3 linked regions of the Tamandua tetradactyla genome follow. The protein of the gene in region 1 binds, or shares a complex with, the protein of each later gene. Links are inferred from orthologs where the notes say so. Each region holds a gene or a part of one and is shown in the gene's direction. Other genes may lie near its edges.

Evidence for each region.
Region 2: DRC3 (region 1) and DRC12 share a complex: the UniProt entries of both Homo sapiens proteins name them as parts of the nexin-dynein regulatory complex. The link is inferred for Tamandua tetradactyla from reciprocal best matches to the Homo sapiens genes DRC3 and DRC12.
Region 3: DRC3 (region 1) and DRC4 share a complex: the UniProt entries of both Homo sapiens proteins name them as parts of the nexin-dynein regulatory complex. The link is inferred for Tamandua tetradactyla from reciprocal best matches to the Homo sapiens genes DRC3 and DRC4.

Annotation. Positions count from the first base shown.
Region 1 is NC_135332.1:1,603,078-1,610,435, forward strand, and holds the start of DRC3 (dynein regulatory complex subunit 3), read left to right. Parts: upstream 1-4,342; 5' UTR 4,343-4,361; coding exon 4,362-4,417; intron 4,418-4,725; coding exon 4,726-4,901; intron 4,902-6,383; coding exon 6,384-6,500; intron 6,501-7,358. Other genes in the region: TOM1L2 (TOM1-like protein 2), read right to left, coding at 1-23, 504-555. UniProt on the Homo sapiens protein: Component of the nexin-dynein regulatory complex (N-DRC) a key regulator of ciliary/flagellar motility which maintains the alignment and integrity of the distal axoneme and regulates microtubule sliding in motile axonemes.
Region 2 is NC_135334.1:21,541,349-21,548,833, forward strand, and holds the start of DRC12 (dynein regulatory complex protein 12), read left to right. Parts: upstream 1-4,475; 5' UTR 4,476-4,655; coding exon 4,656-4,766; intron 4,767-5,730; coding exon 5,731-5,896; intron 5,897-6,310; coding exon 6,311-6,376; intron 6,377-6,807; coding exon 6,808-6,927; intron 6,928-7,417; coding exon 7,418-7,485. UniProt on the Homo sapiens protein: Component of the nexin-dynein regulatory complex (N-DRC), a key regulator of ciliary/flagellar motility which maintains the alignment and integrity of the distal axoneme and regulates microtubule sliding in motile axonemes.
Region 3 is NC_135342.1:84,095,915-84,103,461, forward strand, and holds the start of DRC4 (dynein regulatory complex subunit 4), read left to right. Parts: upstream 1-4,537; 5' UTR 4,538-4,641; coding exon 4,642-4,644; intron 4,645-5,966; exon of another isoform or gene 5,967-6,093; intron 6,094-6,839; coding exon 6,840-6,926; intron 6,927-7,547. UniProt on the Homo sapiens protein: Component of the nexin-dynein regulatory complex (N-DRC), a key regulator of ciliary/flagellar motility which maintains the alignment and integrity of the distal axoneme and regulates microtubule sliding in motile axonemes.

The DNA of each region.
Region 1 (7,358 bases):
GCCCAGTCCGAGGGCTGCCGGCACTGGAAAGGGGAGACAAGGAAGAGAGAGACGGGCGGAGAGGAGGGTTACTGCGGTGACATCCCACAGGGGGCTGCGGGGACTGGGTCCTGCGGGCAGCAGCAGCGAGGCTATCGGGCTGGCAGCGGTGCCCGCCGAGGCTTCTCCCAGCGGGGGAGGGGTAAGTACACGGCGTTGGCACCACCTCCGGGAGAGGCAGGAGGAGCTGGGCCCTGGCGGGGGAGGGACGTGCCCGGCATCTCTCAGGGGTGCCGCCTGGCAGGGTGGCACTGGCACCCACGGGTGACACAGGCGCCGGTGAGGAGGCCCGGCTCCACCGTGAGGCGCCAAGAGCCTCCTGCAAAGACCCGCCGGTGGGGTGGCCCCGGGACCCGCTCGCCCGCGGGGTGGCCTCGGGGCCTGGCGGAAGGCCGCGGCCCTCACCAGCGCCTGTCAGCAGGCGCCGCCCCCAGCCCCGTCGCGCGCCCCACGCGCGGCCTTACCGAGGCACTGTCCCACGGGGGTGCTGAACGGGTTCCCCAGCAGGAACTCCATCTTGGGTGGACTACACGGCAGCGGCCCGGACCCGCGTCCTGTCGCCGCGGTCTCCGCTGTCCCCCGCCGCGCTCCCGACCTGACTGACGCTTGCCCACACCCCACCCTCGGGAACGCCGAGCACCGGGCCCTTGACCCCGCCCCGCTGTTGCGGCCCTATTGGGCAGTTCCTTGCATAGCGCTCCTCCGATTGGCCTTCGCGAAGCTCCACCTACCCCGCAGCGTCCGACTGGGCCCGGGGCGAGCTGGGTCTCCGTCAGGCGTCTCCGTCAGGCGTAGCGGCACCTCCCCTTGCCCGCCTCCAAAAGGGAGTCTGTGCGTTTTGATTCATCTAGCTATTGGTCCATCTAAAGATTCCTGATTGTTACTGGGCAAGAGAAGAGTCAATCACACGTAAGGGGCGGAGAAAAGGTGGTGCTACGAAGAACCCCGCCCAAAGGAAGTTCTCATTGGAGAAACTTTTGTTTTCTCTGAGGCTGATTGGTGTTAAGCGTCTTTCCCCGCCAGAAGCTGATCACGTGGTCCATCAACTCCCCCCCCCCCAGGAAGTCCACCTTCTGACTTCCCTTTAGCAACCAAGTGGCTGCCTTTGGTTCCCCTAGCAACCGGGCGACGCGGTGCTGTGCTGACCCAGGCCTGCGGGCCGCGCTGCGAAGGTAAGAGCCGGGCGCCCAGGCGACGGAGGACTCGCCTCCGCTTTCCTCTGTCCTGGGACGTTTTGCCTTGAGGCGTCCGCCCGGCCCTTCTCGGCTGTGAAATGAGTAAATGCTAAAGGAGTATTTCCTCAGGGAACAGGCCCAGAAGGGATTTTTAGGGGTCAAGTGTTCCATACCCCCAGTCTCCGGCTCTGACCCCTTTCCTAAAAGGAAAAGCCCCAGTTCACTGATAAAATCCAGAATTTAGCATCATATCCGTCAGCTTAACTCGTATTAATTTATTTATTTTCTTCTTCGTATTCTTCTTCAGAGCTTGGGACGTGCTCTGGCTGGGGAGATGGACAGCCAGGTTCCATGTGGGCCTCTGTCCGTCGCTCACTGGACAAGTTCCTTCCCCTCCTGGGGCCTCGGTTTCCCTATCTGGGAAATAAGGGCACTGAGACTCCAGAATTAAGGGGACAGGGGCCTCCAGAGCTGATGTTTTAGATAATGGTAACTTGAGACACAGAACTAAGTGGCTGGTCGACCTGCTTCTTGTTAGTTTGTGGCCAGTGGGGATGATATTTTTCAGATCCAGCTGATCCCAGGTTGTTGTTTCCCGGGGCCCTTCTGGATCTGTCCCTTGGGAGGAAGCCTCTCCATTGACAGAGTGTAAAACTCTCCACCACCTTCCCAGCCTTCCAGCCCTGGTCTTCAGTGACAGCTGTGTCATCAAGCAAGACCGCAGGAACCCAGGTTGGTTGGTCAATTGCTGAAAAAGTCCCCTTGAGGAAGGAGTGTCTGGGCCCTGCCCTTAGTCCAGAGCAATTGGGAGAAACACTGCACTGTGGCAACGACAGTCCCCTCGATGAGTCTGAATTCAGTAAAGGAGCTCTCGAGTCTTATTACCTGGCCTCTGCCATTGAGGCTTGGGCATGGTTCCTTAACCCTTTCTAACTAGTTTCAGTTTTCTTATCTGGAGACCCAGGGTGATTAGACGTACATATAAATTAAGTTCCTAGAGAGCTCTCACATCTACATCTTACCATCAACCCTCGTCATTTCTTGCCTCCCTGCTCTTGCCATTCTCAGGACTGCATATTTTAAAATTAAAAATGATTGTGTCATTGTCCTTCATAAGCCTAGGATAAGAATAAAACCCCTTCAGGCCCCCCCGAACTCACATCACTTCAGCCAAAGTGGAACGTGTCCTGTTTTCCCCCACAGGGCTGTCACCATGCAGTTCCCTCTTCCTTCTTTCCTACTCCTCCTTCAACTCTCAGCCCTGTCTCCTCTGCTCGGGGGCGCTAACATGTGCTCTAATGGTTCCCTATACCTATGATCTTGGCATGCTTTGTGATGAAATGCTTGTAGGATTATTTGATTCACCTCTGCAAAAGAGGTGAGGAGAACTCTCTGTTTCCCTTACAGCACATAGTAGGTACTCAGTAAGTGTGTGTGGAAATGAACAATATCCAGCAGCTATGCGTGTGTGTTCTGCTGTTAATCCTCTTAAGCTGGCTCGGGAGGGAGGCCATACCTGCCTTTTACAGATGGGAGAGGGAAGGGTTGGACAGGTGGAGTGAGATCCCAAAGGGTGCGCAGTCGGGACCCCAGGACCTGCCTGGGTGATCTCAGCACTTGCGTCTGCAGCAGCCGTTCCTTAGTGTACCGTGACTGCCAAGCGTGACTGAGAGCCAGGTGCCCGGTCACAGGTGTCCGGCCTTGACCAAGTGGGTGATAACAGCAAGGTTTTGAAATCAGAAAGCAGAACCCTTTCTCAAAGTGTGGTATCTTTCTCTGAAAAAAGCACAACCATGTTGCAGATACCATCTGCTGAATGCAGCACATTAAAATCTCCCCCAAGGCAAATTGATAGTAAGTAACATAAAACCTTAAAGAGAAGCATTGCAGAGAAGTGGGGAGATAGAGAGAGGCAAGGACTGGAAATGTCTATGGGGATTGAATCAATCAAGCCCGAGGAGGAGGAGCAGCCAGTATGGAGAAACTGGAGAGCGGGATAGGAAAGGGACAAGGTCTTGGAGGATGAAGGCCCATGCAGGGAAGGGGAGGAGGGCTGCACCTCTTCCTGGGGGAGGATTGGAGGCTGTAGGAGGGTAAAGGCCCAGGGGTAAAGGTAAATGCCACCCCACCCCATCCAGAACTGGGGGGGCACATAGCATGCCCAAATTGCATTCCCTGGTGTGGTGGGGAGGAGGTGAGAGAACAGGCAGACGGTAGGCGCCCCTGAGGCCAGGCCCACCGGGTCTTCAGTGGACATCATCACCCAATGTCAGGATTCTCTCCAGCAGTGCCCAGTGGAACAAAAGCCAGGGGGCCGGGGCCTCCCAGGACCAGGGACCAGCAGGGCAGGTAGGACATGAAGGTCCTGAAGCCCCAGAGGCCCCGATGTGGGGGAGGTATGCAGGCAAAGGAAAGAGGTGAAAGCCAGGAGGGGAGAAACAGGTGGAAGGTAGGGGGGAGAACTGAGTTTCCAGAGGGCTCAGGAGGCAGAATCTGGGTGTTTCTAGGAGACTGGCAAGAGAATGTGCCTTCCTGCAAGGCCAGCCCTTCAGGACCTTTCTGCCGAGGGGATGGTGAGGTTGAGAATGAAGTTGGGGTGCCCCGGCTTCCCAGGGCTATTGGCTCTGTCCAGCCGGAGACAGTTGTCTGGGGAGCTGCCCTGCAGTGTGACCAAATCCACCAGGGCAGTTCCCCTCCTTTGTAGGGACATCTCAGCCAAAGCCCTTTGGACTGTAGCCACAGAAAGCCACTTACAGAAAAAAAGGCTGAATGCGGGAAGTCCAGCCCAGAGCCAGTTCCCAGCTGGGTCACCCATGGGGTCCTGGAATTGGGGACAAAAAGGCGGGCAGGAAGCCGGCAGCCTCGGCCCATTTCAGTATGCCTGTCCGTGCTGCTCCGGCTTGTTTCCTGGATCACATAGGCGCTCATCTCTGCTTCTCTGTACGTCTGCCACGTTCCCCTCTTGCTTTCTCTGCTGGATCGTGTGCCTGGCTGCCCCCAGTTCCCTGCCCAGCTCAAGCAGCCAGCTCTGACGCACATGCTCATACCACAGCCCCACGGACACATTTCTCAGGGGGAGAGTAATGGCCAGCTGGGGTCAGGCTCCGCCTACTCCCTGGGCAGCAAGTGTGGTGGGGGAAGGCGTACATGTGTGGCTGCCTCGAGAAGAGGGCAAGGCTCTCAGAGAAAGGGGCTGCCGGCTGGTAAGGCCGAGGGAAACTGGTCAGTGTGGGTCCTAGGAAGGGCAGACCAGGGTGGGGGCAGAGAACAGAGACCCAAGAGAGACAGGGCCAAGGACAGCAGTGTGGGCCCTGCGGCCCCGGTGAGGGTCATAGCTGGGCTCGAGGGGGATGGGCCCAGACGGCTACCAGGAAAGGTCTTGGGCAGCCTGGGTGGTACCCACTATCCCCCAGTGCTCAGGGCCAAGGGGGCTTCGGAGAGGTACCTGCAGGGAGACCCCAGCCCCACCCCGTCCATCCGCAAAGAAGGAGCAGATTGTGGTGCTTTTCAGGGAAGCGCCAGGCAGGATGAGCCGGCTCGGCAACTCCATGGAGCCAAGGGTGCTGGACGACGACCTGCTCAAGCTGGCTGTGAGCGAGCAGGGCCCCCGGGAGGAGGCCGGGCAGCTGGCCAAGCAAGAGGGCATCCTCTTCAAGGATGTCCTGTCCCTGCAGCTGGACTTCCAGAGTACGTATCCCTGGGGGGCCTGGGGCCCATGGCAGCACAGGGGCCGGCTGGGGTCTGAAGGTGCAGGAACAGCGTACATGTTTTTTTTTTTTTTTTTTTTTTTTAAAGGAAAGACAGAGAGAAGGAAGGAAGGATAGAAAGAAGGAAGGGAAACATCTTTTTAAACATTTTCTTGTTTTATTGTATTTTGTTTCTCCGTTTTCGTTACATGGGCTGGGGCCGGGAATCGAACCGAGGTCCTCCGGCATAGCAGGCAAGCACTTTGCCCGCTGAGCCACCGCGGCCCGCGCGTACATGTTTTTTAAAATGAGAAATTTCCCAGAAGTGGCTATAAAGTGCAATTAGCAGAGGGTCGTTAACATTTAAATCTCCAAAACAGTCCTGATTCCCAATAAGAACAGAGGAAAAGAGCAGCCGGACCCGACAGGCCTGGTGCTGTGTCCACCACACCAGTACACATTGGCATCCTGGGCGTGGAGGTCCCGGGCAGCCAGGGCTGGGAGTTGGGGGCTCGGGAGGAAGAGGAGGGTCTGACACTGGGGGAACAGCTTCAGAGGCTGGGCAGAGGGTAAGGGGTGTGGGACCCGGCCTCCCCCAGGGAGACCCAGAGGCAGACCCTGCCCCTCCAAATGAATAAGGAAACTGAGGCCCAGAATGTGTGGCTATCAGAGTAGTTTTTACCCCTTTCATTAGTGTGCTGTTTTCTTTTAAGGAGCATATTCTAGTTTTATAAGTTGTAGAAATTATAATAAAAAAGCAAATACAGAAAAAACAGGGAATGAGGCTTCTAGAAAAAACTGGGAGACAAATTTAGGCCTCTGGAATCATATGCGGTTAGTATTTGCTTATTTATACTTAGGGGTTTTCAGAACTCTTTTGGCTGCAGAAGTGACAGACACAAAGCCCTAACTGGCTTAGAAAAGGAAATGGATTGGCTGATGTGGCTGGGGCAGGTGGTCTTCCCACATGGCTGGGTCCAGGCGCTTAAACCGTGTCAAAACTCTGTCCCCCTCTGCTGCTTGGGGCATTTATCCCATCCCCCATGCATATATGGACACTTGGGGTTTTCCCGTATATTTCTGTCCCTAATGTCCCTGTAGGTATCTTTGTTTGTCGTGTGTACAAGTGCATCTCTGCAGATTCCTTGTCTGTGGGGTCAAAGGGCACAGACCTTGAACATTTCAGTGCCACAACTAAGCTGTGCTCGGACCCACCCACCAGCAGCGCACACAGGCCCGGGTCATCCTGCAGTCTCGATTCTGTCTGTCACCCCTCGTCTCTATCCTGTGCCCCAAGCTGAACCAGGCCCCCATCGGGTCCTCCTGCATCCCCAGCACACTCACAGGGGCCACGGCCTTCCTGTACCGGGGACCCTGAACAGCTAGCACAGCAGTCTCAGTCCTCGGGCATGTTCGTGCAGGGCCCCGGCCCTGCCACCGGCCGCGGCTGGCACCCACCGAGGCTCTGCCCACGTGGTTCCAGACATCCTGCGGATAGACAACCTGTGGCCGTTCGAGAGCCTGAGGAAGCTGCAGCTGGACAACAACGTCATCGAGAAGATCGAGGGTCTGGAGAGCCTCACGCGCCTGGTCTGGCTGGGTAAGGCTCCTCAAAACGGACCTCCCGCCACAGCGATGCCCACCGCCAGCCTCACTGGCCCAGGGCTCGCCGGGAGCCAGGGGCCATTGGTTTGGGGACCTTCTGCTCCTGCCCACTAGGGACAGCCACGGGCTCTGCCTGTGTCCCCCAGATTCAGAGCCAGCCTTGCCCCACCGGGCAGGTCAAACCAGAATGAGTAGTCTCAGCTGCTACTGCATCCTGAGCGCTTACTATATGTGAGGCATGTCCTCTGGGCTTTCCATGGGAGGCCTTGCCATCCTCCCTGCACCCCACTGTGGAGCCCGAGGCCACAGCGAGGAAGGTGGGGGGCATTGCCTTCCAGCCCCAGCCACTGACTCTGAAGCCCACGTTCCTTCCCTCCTGTCATCTGCTTCCCGCTCACAGGGCAGCCCATGGGCACACCCCTCAGTCTGCAGGCCCCTCTCGGCCACCCGGTGCTGCAAAGCCAGGGCAGCCCTACAGGCAGGCACGTGGCACCATTTCACAGACACAGAGTCACACAGTTGCAGCAGCCGAGGAGGCGGACACCCAGGCCCAGGGCCCTCTACCCACACCCACAGACACTGATCCCTGGGCTTGGCAGCCCGAGCCACGTCTGTCCACGGGTGCCAGGGTCAGCTCAGCCCCAGGCCACCCCCCTCGAAGGGCAGTGGCATGCAGGCCCTGGAATCGCCTTGAGGGCCAGGAAGAGTGACCAGGCCCCGCTGTGCCCCCATGCGGGTCTGCTGTTCCCCACCTGCCCACCCAGGCAGAACCTGAAGGCTGGACTTTGTTTCCCCCATTACCAAAGCTTACCTCCCCACCATTCAGGGCTCCTGCACCCGCAGACAGAAAAGG
Region 2 (7,485 bases), on another chromosome or scaffold:
TCTGGAGGCCAGATGTCTTAAATATTTTTTTAAAAAATTGCACTTTGCTTCGGCTACAGTAGACCATATTTCTTTTAATATACAATAAGGTGTCTTTCACATTTCAACAAAGGAGGGAGAATGATCTTTCCTCCATATCTCTTCAAAACTCCCTGACAGGATCATTTTCCAAGAAAGCAGAGTTCTGTCTTGAAATGGTTTCCTGTTGACATTTCAAAACTGAGGCTAATAAAGAGAGACTTTTTATTAACGGCTCCGTTTTTAATAATGTTTATTTGGCCTGTTTTTAAAACTGTTCTGGAAATAGGGTTGGATTGTTGATCACAATGCCATTCCCAGTTCGAGTTATGTTGTTAGAGCTGGCTCAGCCTGTATTGCATTGACATGTGGCACTTTTCTTACTCCATTTCGCCTTCGCCCCAAACCACATCCTCATTCTGCACCTGAAAGTCGGTTAACTGAACACGTTTGTAAAGTAAGGGCTCGTCTGAGGCACGATACATGGTTTCTACACCATAATCTCTGTCTTTGCTATGTTATTTCAGACATCAAAATAACACAGACACTAATCATCCATGCAGAAAACCTCCATAGACTTCAGGATGAGGAGGACAGAAACAGGAATTCCACCCCCTTACATTCGAGGGCAGAAGGAGATGGTTCTGGAGGGAGAATAAATGAGAGACACGCTTCAAGACTAGAAGAAAAGTATTCTCCAGACTTGGAGCATGTGCACATGATACCTGACCCTGGGTCACAGTTGCTATAAGCACCTGAAAAGACAAGCCTGGCTCCTCTCTTTTCTCTGTAATGTCTGAAGGATCCAGAAAAGTACCCAGAAGCTGCCAAGGTGCAAAATAAACATGAATTGGCCTCTTCCTGAACCTGCCTGCTGCCCAGAGGAAGGACTGTTTATTTCCAGATCTCATGGCTACTTCAGCCACTCTGCTCCTGATGACAGGCAATTGACCAAAAATGTTGAGGAAGACAAGAATGGAGAGAGGCGTCTAAAGAAAGAGTCTGCAGGCCCCTTAATCCTCCAGGGGAAAGCCCTGAAGTTTCTTCTGTTTTCATTCTAGACAGTCAGGTGTCCAGAGATCCAGATGGCAGTGAGATGACAAGGCTCCAGAATGGCACAGGACTGGAGGGAGGGTAGGGGCCACCTGACTTGTCATATTCACTTCTCCAAATTTATTTCTCCAACCACTCATGACTCTAGCAAGATGCAAGGAAGTATACTCAAGAGGTAGGCAACCCCAACATTGCCCAATAAATAATTAGAATTAAAAATTAAGCAGAGTACCAAAAAAAAAATCTGCTTTAAAAAATAAGCCATGCCAGAAACCAGGGTTGATTCCCATGGCCTGCCCATGCCAAAAAAATTTTTTTTGCTTTAAAAATTAAGCGGACTGATAAATAAATGGGAACTCCTCAAAATTAAATACTTTTGCGCATCAGAGAACTTCATCAAGAAAATAAAAAGACAGCCTACACAATGGGAAACAATATTTGGAAACGATATATCAGATAAAGGTCTAGTATCCAGAATTTATAAAGAGATTGTTCAACTCAACAACAAAAAGACAGCCAATCCAATTACAAAATGGGAAAAAGATTTCAACAGACACTTCTCAGAAGCGGAAATACAAATGGCCAAAAGGTGCATGAAGAGATGCTCAACTTCCCTGACCATTAGAGAAATGCAAATCAAAACCACAATGAGATATCATCTCACACCCACCAGAATGGCCATTATCAATAAAACAGAAAACCACAAGTGCTGGAGAGAATGTAGAGAAAAAGGCACACTTATCCATTGTTGGTGGGAATGGCAAATGGTGCAACGGCTGTGGAAGGCAGTTTGGCGGTTCCTCAAAAAGCTGAATATAGAATTGCCATATGACCCAGCAATACCATTGCTAGGTATCTACTCAGAGGACTTAAGGGCAAAGACACAAACGGACACTTGCACACCAATGTTTATAGCAGCATTATGTACAATTGCAAAGAGATGGAAACAGCCAAAATGTCCATCAACAGACAAGTGGCTAAACAAACTGTGGTATATACATACGATGGAATATTATGCAGCTGTAAGACAGAATAAAGTTATGAAGTATTTAACAACATGGAAGAACCTTGAGGACATTATGCTGAGATTAGCCAAAAACAAAAGGATAAATACTGTATGGTCTCACTGATATGAACTGATATTGGTGAATAAACTTGGAATATTTTGTTGGTAACAGAGACCATCAGGAGATAGAAATAGGGTAAGATATTGGGTAAGTGGAGCTGAAGGGATACAGATTGTGCAACAGGACTGAATATAAAAACTCAGAAATGGACAGCACAATACTACCTAACTGTAATACAATTATGTTAAAACACTGAATGAAGCTGAATGTGAGAATGATAGAGGGAGGAGGGCTGGGGGCATAAATGAAATCAGAAAGAAAGACGATAAAGATTGAGATGGTATAATCTCGGAATGCCTAGAGTGTATAATGATAGTGACTAAATGTACAAATTTTGAAAATGTTTTTGCATAAGGAAGAACAAAGGATGCTGAAAATAGATGGTAATTAATATTTTAAAATTTCAACTTATGTGTGAGACTAAAGAAAAAAAATGATTATTTGGTACAAAATTTATATTTTGACTAGTGCATTTCCTAATATAACTTATGTAGATAGCTTGCTTGAACACCATAAGTACTTGGAACCTTGGGTAGGACATGGGATTTTGTTGGTTTGTCCAGAGTGATGCCCCGATGAATCCCAGAGTGATTTGAACAGTGAGTGGAAAAGTATTTGCAAAGTCCCCTTTGGGGAATAGTGAGAACGGGGAGAAATTCAACTTCCCCAAGTAGAATTCTTGATATTCTCACAAGCAGTGTGGACAACCAAAGCTATAGGCTAAGCCCCCAGTCTTGGGGTTTGTTCATATGAAACTTAACCCCACAAAGGATAGGTCAAGCCTACTTAAAATTAGGCCTAGAAGTCACCCCCAAGAGAGCCTCTTTTGTTGCTCAGATGTGGCCCCTCTCTTCAGCCAACACAACAATGAAACCCACCACCCTCCCCCTGTCTACGTGGGACATGACTCCCAGGGGTGTGGACCTTCCTGGCAACTTGGGACAGAAATCCTACAATGAGCTGAGACTCAGCATCAAGGGATTGAGAAAACCTTCTCGACAAAAAGGGGGAAGAGTGAAATGAGACAAAGTGGCAATGGCTGAGAGATTCCAAACAGAGTCCAGAGGTTATCCTGGAGGTTATTCTTATGCATTAAGTAGATATCACCTTGTTATTCAAGATGTAATAGAGAGGCTGGAGGGAACTGCCTGAAAATGTAGAGCTGTGTTCCAGTAGCCATGTTTCTTGAGGATGACTGAATAATGATATAGCTTTCCCAATGTGACTGTGTGATTGTGAAAACCTTGTGTCTGATGCTTCTTTTATCTACTTTGTCAACAGATGAGTAGAACATATGGAATAAAAATAAATAATAGGGGGAACAAATGTTAAAATAAATTTGGTTTGAAATGCTAGTGATCAGTGAAAGGGAGGGGTAAGGGGTATGGTATGTATAAATTTTTTTTCTGTTTTCATTTTATTTCTTTTCTGAATAGATGCAAATGTTCCAAGAAATGATTATGATACTGAATATGCAACTATGTGCTGACATTGTGAATTACTGATTATATGTAGAACAAAATGATCAAAATAGGAATGTTTGCATTTGCTTTGTGTTTTTTGGTATTTAAAAAAATAAAATTAAAAAATTTTTTTAAAAGTTAAGCAGACTGGAAACAAGATCAGATAAGAACATTAGAGGGAGCTCCAATCAACACTGTGCTGCAGGGAGCTTGGCAAAATTTTTTCTCAGAACCTCATTGAAAATCAACCACGTAAAAAGTGAGATTAATACACCAAGAGAGAAGCAACCCTTGTAAATAATCCCGTTAAACCCAAGCATTTTGATTTACAAAAATCAAAGCTTTAAAGACCAGCAACTTGAAGCTGAAACGAAGTTGAATGGCTTGCCCAGCTTTAGGAAACCAGAGGAAGGACTAGAACTCGCATCTCTTGTCTCTCCGGCCAGTCCCATTTTCTCCACACCCTGGGCAACATGGGTCCATCTCCCCTCTGTGTCTCATTTCTTTGAAATGGGAAACTCTCCTACCTGCTTCTTGCATCTCCCTTATACACCAGAAAAATGCTTTTTACTGAAGAGGACCTTGAGTTTTAAGCCTAATAATGTCATTTTCCCGATGGACCCTAGAGCTGTAAATTGCCCAAAATGGCTATCAGGAATCCTTTTTCTCCACATCAGCACAACACTATTATTTCTGATGTGTAAAGCTTGTAATTTGTATGTCTCCAAATTGCAGACTTCCTACATGGAAGTGAATCATAGCAAATTGGCTCCAAAGTCCTTTCTCCTCAAACCACACTTTGAATTTGGGAATAAGGAGAGGACTGACCCTCTGCAATCTTAGTGTTTTAAGCCGAGTGAATTAAAATAGCCCATTCTACCTTCCTGCGAGCTCTGTGTTTCCCAGTTGCCTGGACAACAGGCTGTCTCTAAAAACCCAACCTTCCAGTTCTCAGTCCTGCCCCCGTCGGAAATCTGCCACCCTGGATTGGCTCATGGAACGCTTCCTCCTCTTTGGGTTCCTGCTGGTTGGACTTTTTTTCTGCCCTTCCTCAAAAGGGTCACTCCGCAGGGAGACGCAACAGAGGCAAGAGAGGATTCTAAAGGTAGGAAGAGGTGGAGTGAGGGAGATGGGGGAGAAGCAGATACTGAGATTCATTTTTCTCTAAAAGAGGGTTGAGAGGGATGACTTCTGTGTAAAGACCCAAATGGATAGAAAAAAACAGCTCCATGTAAGAGTCCATAGAGACCAAGAACTGAAGCTTCTGGAAAGTGCAAGAAACAGAGTTGGAGACTAGAATTCCCACTTTCCTGGTGTTACCGGACAAAGGCAGTGAATTCTTTTCCCCAGTGAGTTCAATAACCAATTCCTGAGACACCGGGGTTGCAAAGACAGAAAATGTTTATTGCTAGGCAGGAAGCAGACCAGATGGCCTATCAGCCCAAAATGTGTCTCCCTGAACTGCAGTAATTCTGAAAGTTTTATAGTATCATAAGATGGGCAGATTTTAGGATAAGGAGCACAGTGGCCCCACATGATGTAATTAGAGGTGATCTGATTATTGAGCATGCACAGATTGATTACATACTTAGTCACAGAAGGTATGAAAGAAAATGGTGACTTTAATATGCTGATTGGTATTATAATTAGGTATCAATGACTTGTAGGTTAAAGTCTAACCTACTGCACATGTCAGGCAGGCCCATTTTTTATTAGCTCCACCTCCAGTAATCAAGGTAACTTTGGATTTTGATTGGGTTAGTTCTGGGCTGACCCAAGACTCTTCATTAATAAACATTAGGGGCTGTCTTTAGTGATAACAAGACTGGAGACTCTAGAGTCGAAAAACAGGAAAAATGGGTACACGTGACGGTTAGTCACAAATTTTTACAATCACAAAGGACACAAGATAAAGGCTACACATCATTATCAGAGGTCAAGGCAGCTGGATTCCAGTTCAGAGATTTCAGGTATTTCCCTCTGTCTACTCCAGTGTACTAGAAAGCAAAAAGGAATTTCTATATAATGATTCGGCAACCATAATCATTCCTTAAGTCCTAATTTTTCAGTTATACCAGGACTCTTGGTTCAGCCTAAAAGTCAGAAAAGCATCCCCGTGTCCAGACGTGAATACCAGTCTTCTCCTTCTTCTGGATAGCAAGAAGATGCCACCTAAGACCAAAGAAAAAGGGCTGAAAGCTGGGGCACAGAATAAGAAAAAGAATTCAGGTGCTGGTGAGTTGGGGGGGTGCCCCCCACTTCTCCATGCTCTGGCACAGAGACCAGCACCGGTCCTCCAGAGACTATTTGGTCCTCTGTATGATGAGATGGAGCTTTCTTGACCCTCCCCCCTCATATCTTCATATCCAGGTTCCATGGAGGTGGGAAATTGGGGAAAATCAGTCATTTGACCCCTCCCTTGAGTCCCTTCTAGCTCAGGTTCAGCTCTGAGCCTTCCGTATATATTCATCACATATATTTTGAATACCCACTCTATGCTAGGCAGTGAGGATGCAGTGGTAACCTCAGACCTCAGGAAGAAAGGAAGTCCAGAGATTGGGTGAGGAGGGGAGGAGAGTCGCGGGAGGAGGGTACTGAGAGCAAGACCAAGGGCTTGCAACCCTCTCCTCTGTCAACTTGCTAGGGCAGATGTGGAAGCCGAGTCCAAGCACAGGCTGGAAGTGCTGGAGAAGGAGTTGCTCCGAGACCAGTTGGGTAAGAAGGGCAGGAGCTCCAAGAGGCTACAGGGGTGGGGCAATGAGGTATTTCTGTTTCCACCACCTCCTCTCATCCTCAGGGATTGGAGGGTTGGAGCTATGGTTGGGGGTTAAGCTAACCTCTAACCATTCCCTAATGGGAAAACACTGTTATGAGTTGAGATCGTGGTGGGGAGGGGGTGGGCATTGAGGTTTGATGAGAGAACTAGGGAGCTATTTTTACAGCCAGAATGTGAGAAATTTTTGCTCCTTAATAGTGAAAAGTCTGTGAGATTCTGAGAGGAGGGGGTGGGTGGCACCCAGGTGAGAATGGGAGGCTAGATGCTCTACCTCCAAGTTTCTGAAAGTGGGCAGGGCCAGTCAAAAACACGGAGCTGGCTCAGTGGGGCCCCCAGTCAGATCTGAGGGCTGCTCTGGGACCACCCACAGCCCTGCGGAGGGACGAGGCCCGCCAAGCCAAAGCCTCTGAAGACCAGCTGAAGCAAAGGTTGCAAGGGTTGGAGGCTGAACTGGAGAGAGCCCGAAGTGAAGGGAAGGCCGTATATGCAGGTATGTGGTGGGTTTAGCGGGTGGGCAGGAGGCAGGGCTCTGGAAGAGAACAACCAAGAAGAGATACATTTGCTGTGCCCAGTCTCAGGACAAATGAGGCAGATCCTAAAAAACCCAAAGAAGTCCTCGGGGATCCTAGGCAGGGATCTTCCAGGATCCCTGATGCCATGTGCTTGATGCTTTGCAGGTTATGCAATGTAGCAATAGCCATTACCCCATTGATTCCATGGGAGTGAATGGGACAGCTTAGAATCCCTATCCTGGGCTGGAATGGGGAGAGGGGTTTGGTTTTCTCTCCCTCCCCCGGGTTTTCAGGGACTCCCAACTTCTCAGAATCTCTCCAGAGGAATCAAGAAGGCTTTTATGCTCCCATCCCACTGGACCAAGCATAAATCCCCTGGGCCCTCCTCACCTACAATTTAATCTCCTTTCTCCATTCTTCCATCCCCACTGAGTCGCTGCCCCCACCCCCACCCCGTCCCTCCCATAGAGATGACTCGCCAGTACCGGGCCCTGCAGGAGAAGATGGAGAACCGCAGCAGGTGGCTGGAGGAGGAA
Region 3 (7,547 bases), on another chromosome or scaffold:
TGTCAAACATTCAAGAAGAATTGGCACCACTCCTGCCCAAACTCTTCCGAAAGACTGAAGATCACTGCCAGGTCCTGCTCTGAGGTCACCAGCACCCTAATTTTACCAATGCCAGAAAAATATGCCACAAGAGAATTACAGACCAACATCCCATGTGAGTATAGAAGCAAAATTCAACAATACTGTGACAAACTGAACACAACAGCCCATTAAAGGAATTATGCAGCATAATCAAGGGGTGCTTATCCCAGGTGTGCAAAGGAGGTTCACATGAGAAAGTAATTTAGTGCAACACCATATTAATAGAATGAAGGAAAAAAATCACCTTAATTGACACAGAAGAGGCGTTAGACAAAATCCACCACGCATCTTGATGAAAACTAGGAATAGGGGGTTTATGTAAAAACCTGTAGCAAACATTATACTCAAGGCAAGGACACCCCCTGTCACCCCTGTACTCAACACTCCTGGAAGTTCTAGCCAGAACAACAAGGCAAGAGAAAAATAAATAAACAGCATACAAATTTGTAAGGAAAAAATAAAACTTTCACTATTGCAGATGACATGATCCTATATAAGGAACATCCTTAAAAAAATCACAACAAGGCTACTAGAGCTAATAAATTCAGAAAAGTGGTGGGGTACAAAATCCACATGCAAAACTCAGTAGTGTTTCTATACCATAAACAATAAATAATCTGTAGAGGAAACAAAGAAAACAATTGCATTTACAACAGCAACTAGAAGAATCAATCAGGAATAAATTTGATCAAGGATGTAACAGACTCACACACGGAAAATCACAAAACATTCTTGGAAGAAATCAGACTAAATAAATAGAAGGATATTCTGTGTTCATGGATTGGAAGATGAAATATTGTTAAGATGTCAATTCTACCCAAAGCAGTTTATAGATTCAGTGCAATCCCAATCAAAATAGCAGAAACACGAAAGCCAATTGTCAAATTCCCTTGGAAGGGTAAGGGCCCCAAGTGGCCATCACCATCTTGAAAAGAGAAGAATGAAGCTGGAACACGCACACTTCCTGATTTTAAAACTTACTACAAAGCTACACGGATCATGGCAGCATGGAACTGGCATAAGAATAGCTATGTAGACCCATGGAAATGGAACCAAGGGTCCAGAAATCCACCTTCACATCTCAGTCTCAGGCCAATTGGTTTTTGACAAGGGAGCCACAGCTACTCAGTGGAGGAAGAACAGCCTGTGCCCTCCATCTGCAGAAGAATGAAGGAGGACCTTGCCCTCACACCAAATAAAAATTAACTTGATGCGCCCTAATGTAAACGATGCACAACAGTTAATAGTATAATTATAATACTGTTTAATCTAGTTGTAACAAAGGAACTGCATTTGGGCCAAGTGTTAATAGGGAAAGCTGTGTGTGTGTGGCCCTATATGGGAACTCTGCATTTTCTGCATACTTTTTCTGTAAACCTACAACTTCTCTTAAAAAGAAATCTATTTCCTAAAAAACAAACAACCCAGCAGCAGCAGCACGTCCGTTCCTTGGAGATGGCCCGGGACCAAGCAGCCCATTCCTCCCTCCCTGCGACAGCTCTCCCTCACCCCTGGAGTGCTATGCTCAGCCGCTTCTCCCGCTGGGGCCCTTCCGGAACATTTTGCACCAAGCCTGTGGGATTTCCTGTGACCTGCCTCTCCTGTCCCCAAGCCCCAGAGACACACTTATTTTCACTGTTTCTTTAGAAGATGATGGCCCAATGCTGCAACACGCTCGCCCAGAGTCAGGCTCAGGGCTGGACAGACGCAGGCTGAGGCCCCCCGCTTTTCCCCGGGGTCCTAGTGGACGCCACGTTCATGGCTCCAAGGTGGAAATAACACACCACTTCCTCGCCTGTCCAGCGCCCCCACCCCAGCTCTGGATTTGACCTTCCCACCCAGTGCGGGTGCCTGCCCCTGGCGCCACTTTCAGACAGAAAGGAGGCACCCGCAGCTCCCTGGGATATGCAACGGAGCTGAGCCCCCAGTGAGGGGCACATCACACCTCAACGTCGAGGGCCAGGCCCAGGGTTTGGTGGCTTTAGCCCGGGTAAGGAGCCCGCAGCTGTTCGCACCCTTCTAAGGGATGCCGTGACCTGCAGGGAGCCTCCGGGACCAGAGCCAAGGGCAGACCCGTCTCTGCTGAGCCCGCCAGCGCCTCGTTTCTCACCTGGAAAGCTGGGACAAGGGCACCCCCCACACCCCCGCCCCAACAGGGTTGTCGGGAAGTTGGGCCCATCAGTACGTGCCTGAAGCAAGAAGGTGGGCTGTCTTCTAGAATCTTCCACTCGCATCCAGAAACCCCACCTCTGCTCCTCTGGCTGGCAGGGGCTGATGCTGCGTGTCCCCTGAGGCTGGGTGAGGGGAAGGGCTCAGCCCTGCTGTCCCTGCCTCTGAACATCCCAGGTCTGGCTAAACTGCAGATTCATGTGCAGAGTAAATGCTGTGCTGAGCCACTTTGTTCAACAATTGTTCCTGTCTGAGAGTGGGCCTCAGGAGCAAGGGGCAAGCTTAGGTTTAAGTTTATTTATTTTTAACCTGTCATTAGGAGCCTCTGAAAACATTCCCTGGAGTAGAGAGCAGCGCTGGGAGCTTCTCTTTCTGACACCGCAGTCACCTTCCCCCTGCTGGGCTGGCTTGAAGCTAACCTGCACTTGTCTTATCATTTCAATTGTAAGTTCTTCAGTGTTTTTCTCTAAGAGAAAGTTAAGCCTTGCGTCTGCAGACATGCGTGCCCTCGTGCAGGCCTTAGGAGAGCTGAAGGGTTAACATTTGCTCTGGACTTTTGCAGGAAACTCCGAAGTTGTTTATCTGTTCCTCAGTTACCCAGCTCCACTGAATCCAACCATCTTAAGCCACACACGTGAGGGAAAGGCTGCACACATATCCAGCATGAAAAGCAGAGTTTGCTCAGGGCCTTGTCTGGAGCCAGGGCAGCTGGAGGGTTTCTCTCCCAAGCCAGCCCCTGCCCTTGCTGAAAGGAATCACTGGAACCACGGCGACGTCCTCAGGACCCCAGCCAGGCAAAAGAGCAAAGGGCCAGCGAGCACGGGGCCCTGGCATAGCCTTGTCCCTGCTCTGAGAGGTTAGAGAGCATAACTGCCCTGCCATGGACCCTCTTGCCTGCCAGCCCCTCTGGGAAGTCCCTCTTTGGGGGAGCAGGCTCCTGGCTCCCAGCCCCAGCACCCCCACTCCTCACACCAGACCTCACAAAGGCCTTGAGAGCTGTTGCACAAAAACCACAACTCTATCAAAGCTGGCTTCTCCCCAGGGCGGGGCTTGAGGCCTGGGAGGCAGAGACAAACAGGAAGCCCGTCCTGCTCAGGGCAGGGGCTCCCGGGCAGAGTGGGGTGGGATGCTGCCTGAGCAAGCCCAGGTGCTGAGCCCACCTGAGCCCTCCTTCACTGCACACCTTCACTCCTCTGCTGTCCTCCAGGACATAAAGCAGATGGGGCTACAAGGCCGGCCACACAACGCTATTCAGGAAGATACCTAAGTGGAGAGCTTGGAAATAACGGTCCATAAAATGGGCCCCTGTTCATGACAGATGGTAGCATTGAGGTAATGTCTATGGAATGGGAAATTCACTTTGGAAATAAAAAAAAATGATTAGCATTTTTCAAAGCAAGAGGTTAGAAAAGAAAAATGACAAATTCTTTCTCTCACTCTCTCTCTCTGTGCAGTGCCTGTCTGGAAACCTCTGCAGAAGTTTCTAGTTTCTCTCCATCTCTGAGCACAGAGGGGCTGTGGAGAGTGGTTTACTCTTCGAGGTGAGCATATCACAGCTATAGGGGCAGCTGCCACGAGACTTCCTGATTTCAAAGCTTTGGAGCTAAGTTGAAACTTTTTTTTTCTTTCCTATTTTTGTTTTATTTTTTTCCCTGAGGGTTTGTGGAAATCAGTTATCTTGGAGCAGGAGACTCTCCAGAGTGAATAGTCTCCCATCCAAATTCGAATCTAATTTGGACAATGCTGCAGAGCCTCGGGTTGCAACTCACCTGTCACTCATTCATTTGATCAGAACATCTTTACTGACACCTGCCAGGGATTGTTCTAGGTGCTGGAGGCTCAGAAGTGCAGGACCTGCCCCCCCTCCACCCACACACACTTCATGACACTCGCTTCCTAGTTGGGAGGGGATAAAATGCGTGAATTAAATTACGGGGAAAGTAAAGTGGGCAGGGGGCTGTTTAGTTTCTTTAGTTTTCAGAATGTAGGTTCTAGCCAGGGAAGAGGACCGCTGAGCAGAAAGGGTCCGGGTCAGACTGGCCAGAGTATGGGGTCACGATCAGGGTCACGGCCAGGGTGTGGGCCAGGCCCCCGTCACAGACTCGCGCACCTCAGCTGAGGCCCCGGAATCCCTCGCTCCATCCTGCAACGTATCGCATTTGGGGGCATCGGGGGCGAGGATGCTGCCCAAACCTCGCGGGCTCGGGCAACCTAGGGCATCTCCCAGGCGCGTGTTGCTAGGGACGCGCTTCCGCTGTTGTCACGGCGGCCGCGTCGAGCGGCTCTCGCGAGAATCCCCGAGGGTTCTCACGGGAAGCGCCCGGCGGTTGCCTGGAGACGTTTGGCCCCGGCTCGAATCTGCGGCGCTGGAGTGGCTGGTGGGCCGGCGGCATGGTGAGGGGGGCGGGGGTGGGGGCGGGCTGGTGAGAGGGTCGGGGGGTCGTGCTGGGGATCCGGGGCCTGGGGCTTGCTGATGAGGGGGTCGGGGGGCGTGCTGGGGACCCGAGGCCTGGGGCTTGCTGATGAGGGGGTCGGGGGGCGGGCTGGGGACCCGGGGCCTGGGGCGTGCTGGTGAGGGGGTCGGGGGGCGGGCTGGGGACCCGGGGCCTGGGGCGTGCTGGTGAGGGGGTCGGGGGGCGTGCTGGGGACCCGGGGCCTGGGGCGTGCTGGGGAGCCGGGGCCTGGGGCGGGCTGGGGACCCGGGGCCTGGGGCGTGCTGGTGAGGGGGTCGGGGGGCGTGCTGGGGACCCGGGGCCTGGGGCGTGCTGGGGAGCCGGGGCCTGGGGCGTGCTGGTGAGGGGGTCGGGGGGCGTGCTGGGGACCCGGGGCCTGGGGCGTGCTGGGGAGCCGGGGCCTGGGGCGTGCTGGTGAGGGGGTCGGGGGGCGTGCTGGGGACCCGGGGCCTGGGGCGTGCTGGGGATCCGGGGCCTGGGGCGTGCTGGTGAGGGGGTCGGGGGGCGTGCTGGGGAGCCGGGGCCTGGGGCGTGCTGGGGAGCCGGGGCCTGGGGCGTGCTGGTGAGGGGGTCGGGGGGCGGGCTGGGGACCCGGGGCCTGGGGCGTGCTGGGGACCCGGGGCCTGGGGCGTGCTGGGGACCCGGGGCCTGGGGCGTGCTGGTGAGGGGGTCGGGGGGCGTGCTGGGGAGCCGGGGCCTGGGGCGTGCTGGTGAGGGGGTCGGGGGGCGTGCTGGGGACCCGGGGCCTGGGGCGTGCTGGGGACCCGGGGCCTGGGGCGTGCTGGTGAGGGGGTCGCGGGGCGGGCTGGGGATCCCGGGCCGAGAACTTGGTCCTCTCGAGATCCCTGTGGAAGAGCGCGGGGTCCGCCGCGTCCCAGGACCCGGCTTTCCGGGCCCCTTCGCTGCCAGGGGACCGGGGTCCTCCTCACTGAGGAGCTCCGGGAGTGATGCGGCCCACAGCGGCACCTACCCCCACCCCCACCCGACTCCCACCCCAACCCAACCACTCCCACCCCAGCCCTCTCCCACCCCCTCCCCCAATCCTCTCCCACCCCCTCCCCAACCCACCTCCACCCACTCCCACGCCCACCCCCACCCCACCCCACGTTGTGCTGTAGGAGTTGAGTTTAGAACCGGGCAGCTGGGCGGGAGGAGCTGTTGGGTGGGTATCAGCTGGCCTGAGCGCCACCAGGACCCCACAGCCGGCTGTGAGCAGCGCTGGCCCTTAGGTCCGCACGTCGGGTGACTTCCTGGAATGGATCCTCCAAAGGAGGGCCTATAGGAGGGCATTGCAACTGGGGCCGGATTTCCGTGGTTGTATCTTCCGAAAGCATACTGGAATGAGGCAAGCAGAATACTTCTACATGATCAGTAGTTTGTGAGGATATAAGTGAGTTTTCTTTTCTTCTCCACATTTCCTAAAATTTCTACTTAAAATTTTTGTATATTCATAACAAAGTTACAGAGACAGACACACAACAACGTGAGCTGCAGAGTTGAGCAGAGGGTTACGGGTGGTGGCCTCAGTTCAAGGGGACTTTTAGGGTGGAAGTGTCTTTCTCACCTGGTTAGAGTTGTTGGAACCACACACTTTGCCATCCACCTGGGGGCTCATTCCTCAAGCTCTCTAAACCAGGGTTCTTTGAAGGGGCTTTATGTTTGGAAGAAAGGAAGCCTCGAATTGCTGTCACTGGTCATTGCTGCAGATTTCTGTCTGTGCCTTTTGGTGTTTTTTTTGCTTCTCAGTGGTGGCTGCCACACAATGCAACAAGCCTGGTGGTGTTTCACAGTTTGGTATTGGGGTTCTTACTTTTTGAGCCACGTAAACTTTGTGTCCACCCCAAAGAAGTCTTTGGCATATTCCAAGGAGTGCGTGGGTTTGGGATGGGTTGCCGCTCCCTTCCCTTCAGGGATAAAGTGGTCTTTTCTGGAAAGGAAGGCGTCTCCTTCCTGATTTCCCAGATGTGCACAAAGGGGTGTATGTGTGAGTTCAGGTGGACCCGCAGTGCAGGTGGATGTGCTCCAGGTGGGCTCTTCTGGGGCATGAGCCAGGGAGCCTGGGAGGGACTCTGAGGCAGCAGGAAGGGAAGCTGATAGACTGCGCTACTCACTTGGTCATCTCTTTTTCAACCAAAGGCGCCCAAAAAGAAAGGCAAGAAGGGCAAAGCCAGGGGCACCCCAATTGTTGATGGGCTCGCTGCAGAAGAGATGAGCAAGGAGCAGGTGAGTGGGGGCTGCATGCTGCCCCTGATCCCAGGTTGTGATCGACACCCCAGGCTCCCCAGACCTCCTGCCACCACGCAGCCGCAGTCCACCTCCCCTCTGTCTGGTCTCTGCTCTTCTGCCGTCTTCTGTCCTGCCTCTCGCCCTCTCCAGGGCCCCTAGCAGCCTCTCAGTTCTCAGATATAAAACCTAGAATTTTAAAAAGTAATATAGTCACATGGGAGAACGTTTCTATAAACAGGTAGGAATTCGGAAGGAAATGTTTTTCTGATTAATAGTATTTTTAGTTTCTGCATTCTCTTTCAATCTTATCCTTTTGTGCACCTGATTTTTACAGTGTTGTCATCATAGCACATACACAGGTCATGTTCTCCTTTGTTTTATTTTCTGTTAAACATTATAGGAAAAAGACAGTGTGGAAAAAGAATGGTTTATTTAAAATCATATTGCCTCGGTCTGAGTGATCAGTTCTTCATTGGTTCTGGCCACAGTCCCAACAAGAGTAGCATCGCCAGGCACCCTCTTTCCTCTTGCTTGCACTTGTTTGTGTGTGTGTCTGCAGGTGTTATTGTCTCAACTATAATTTCTTTGTAGGAATTATTTTAAGCCATCTGTCCATTT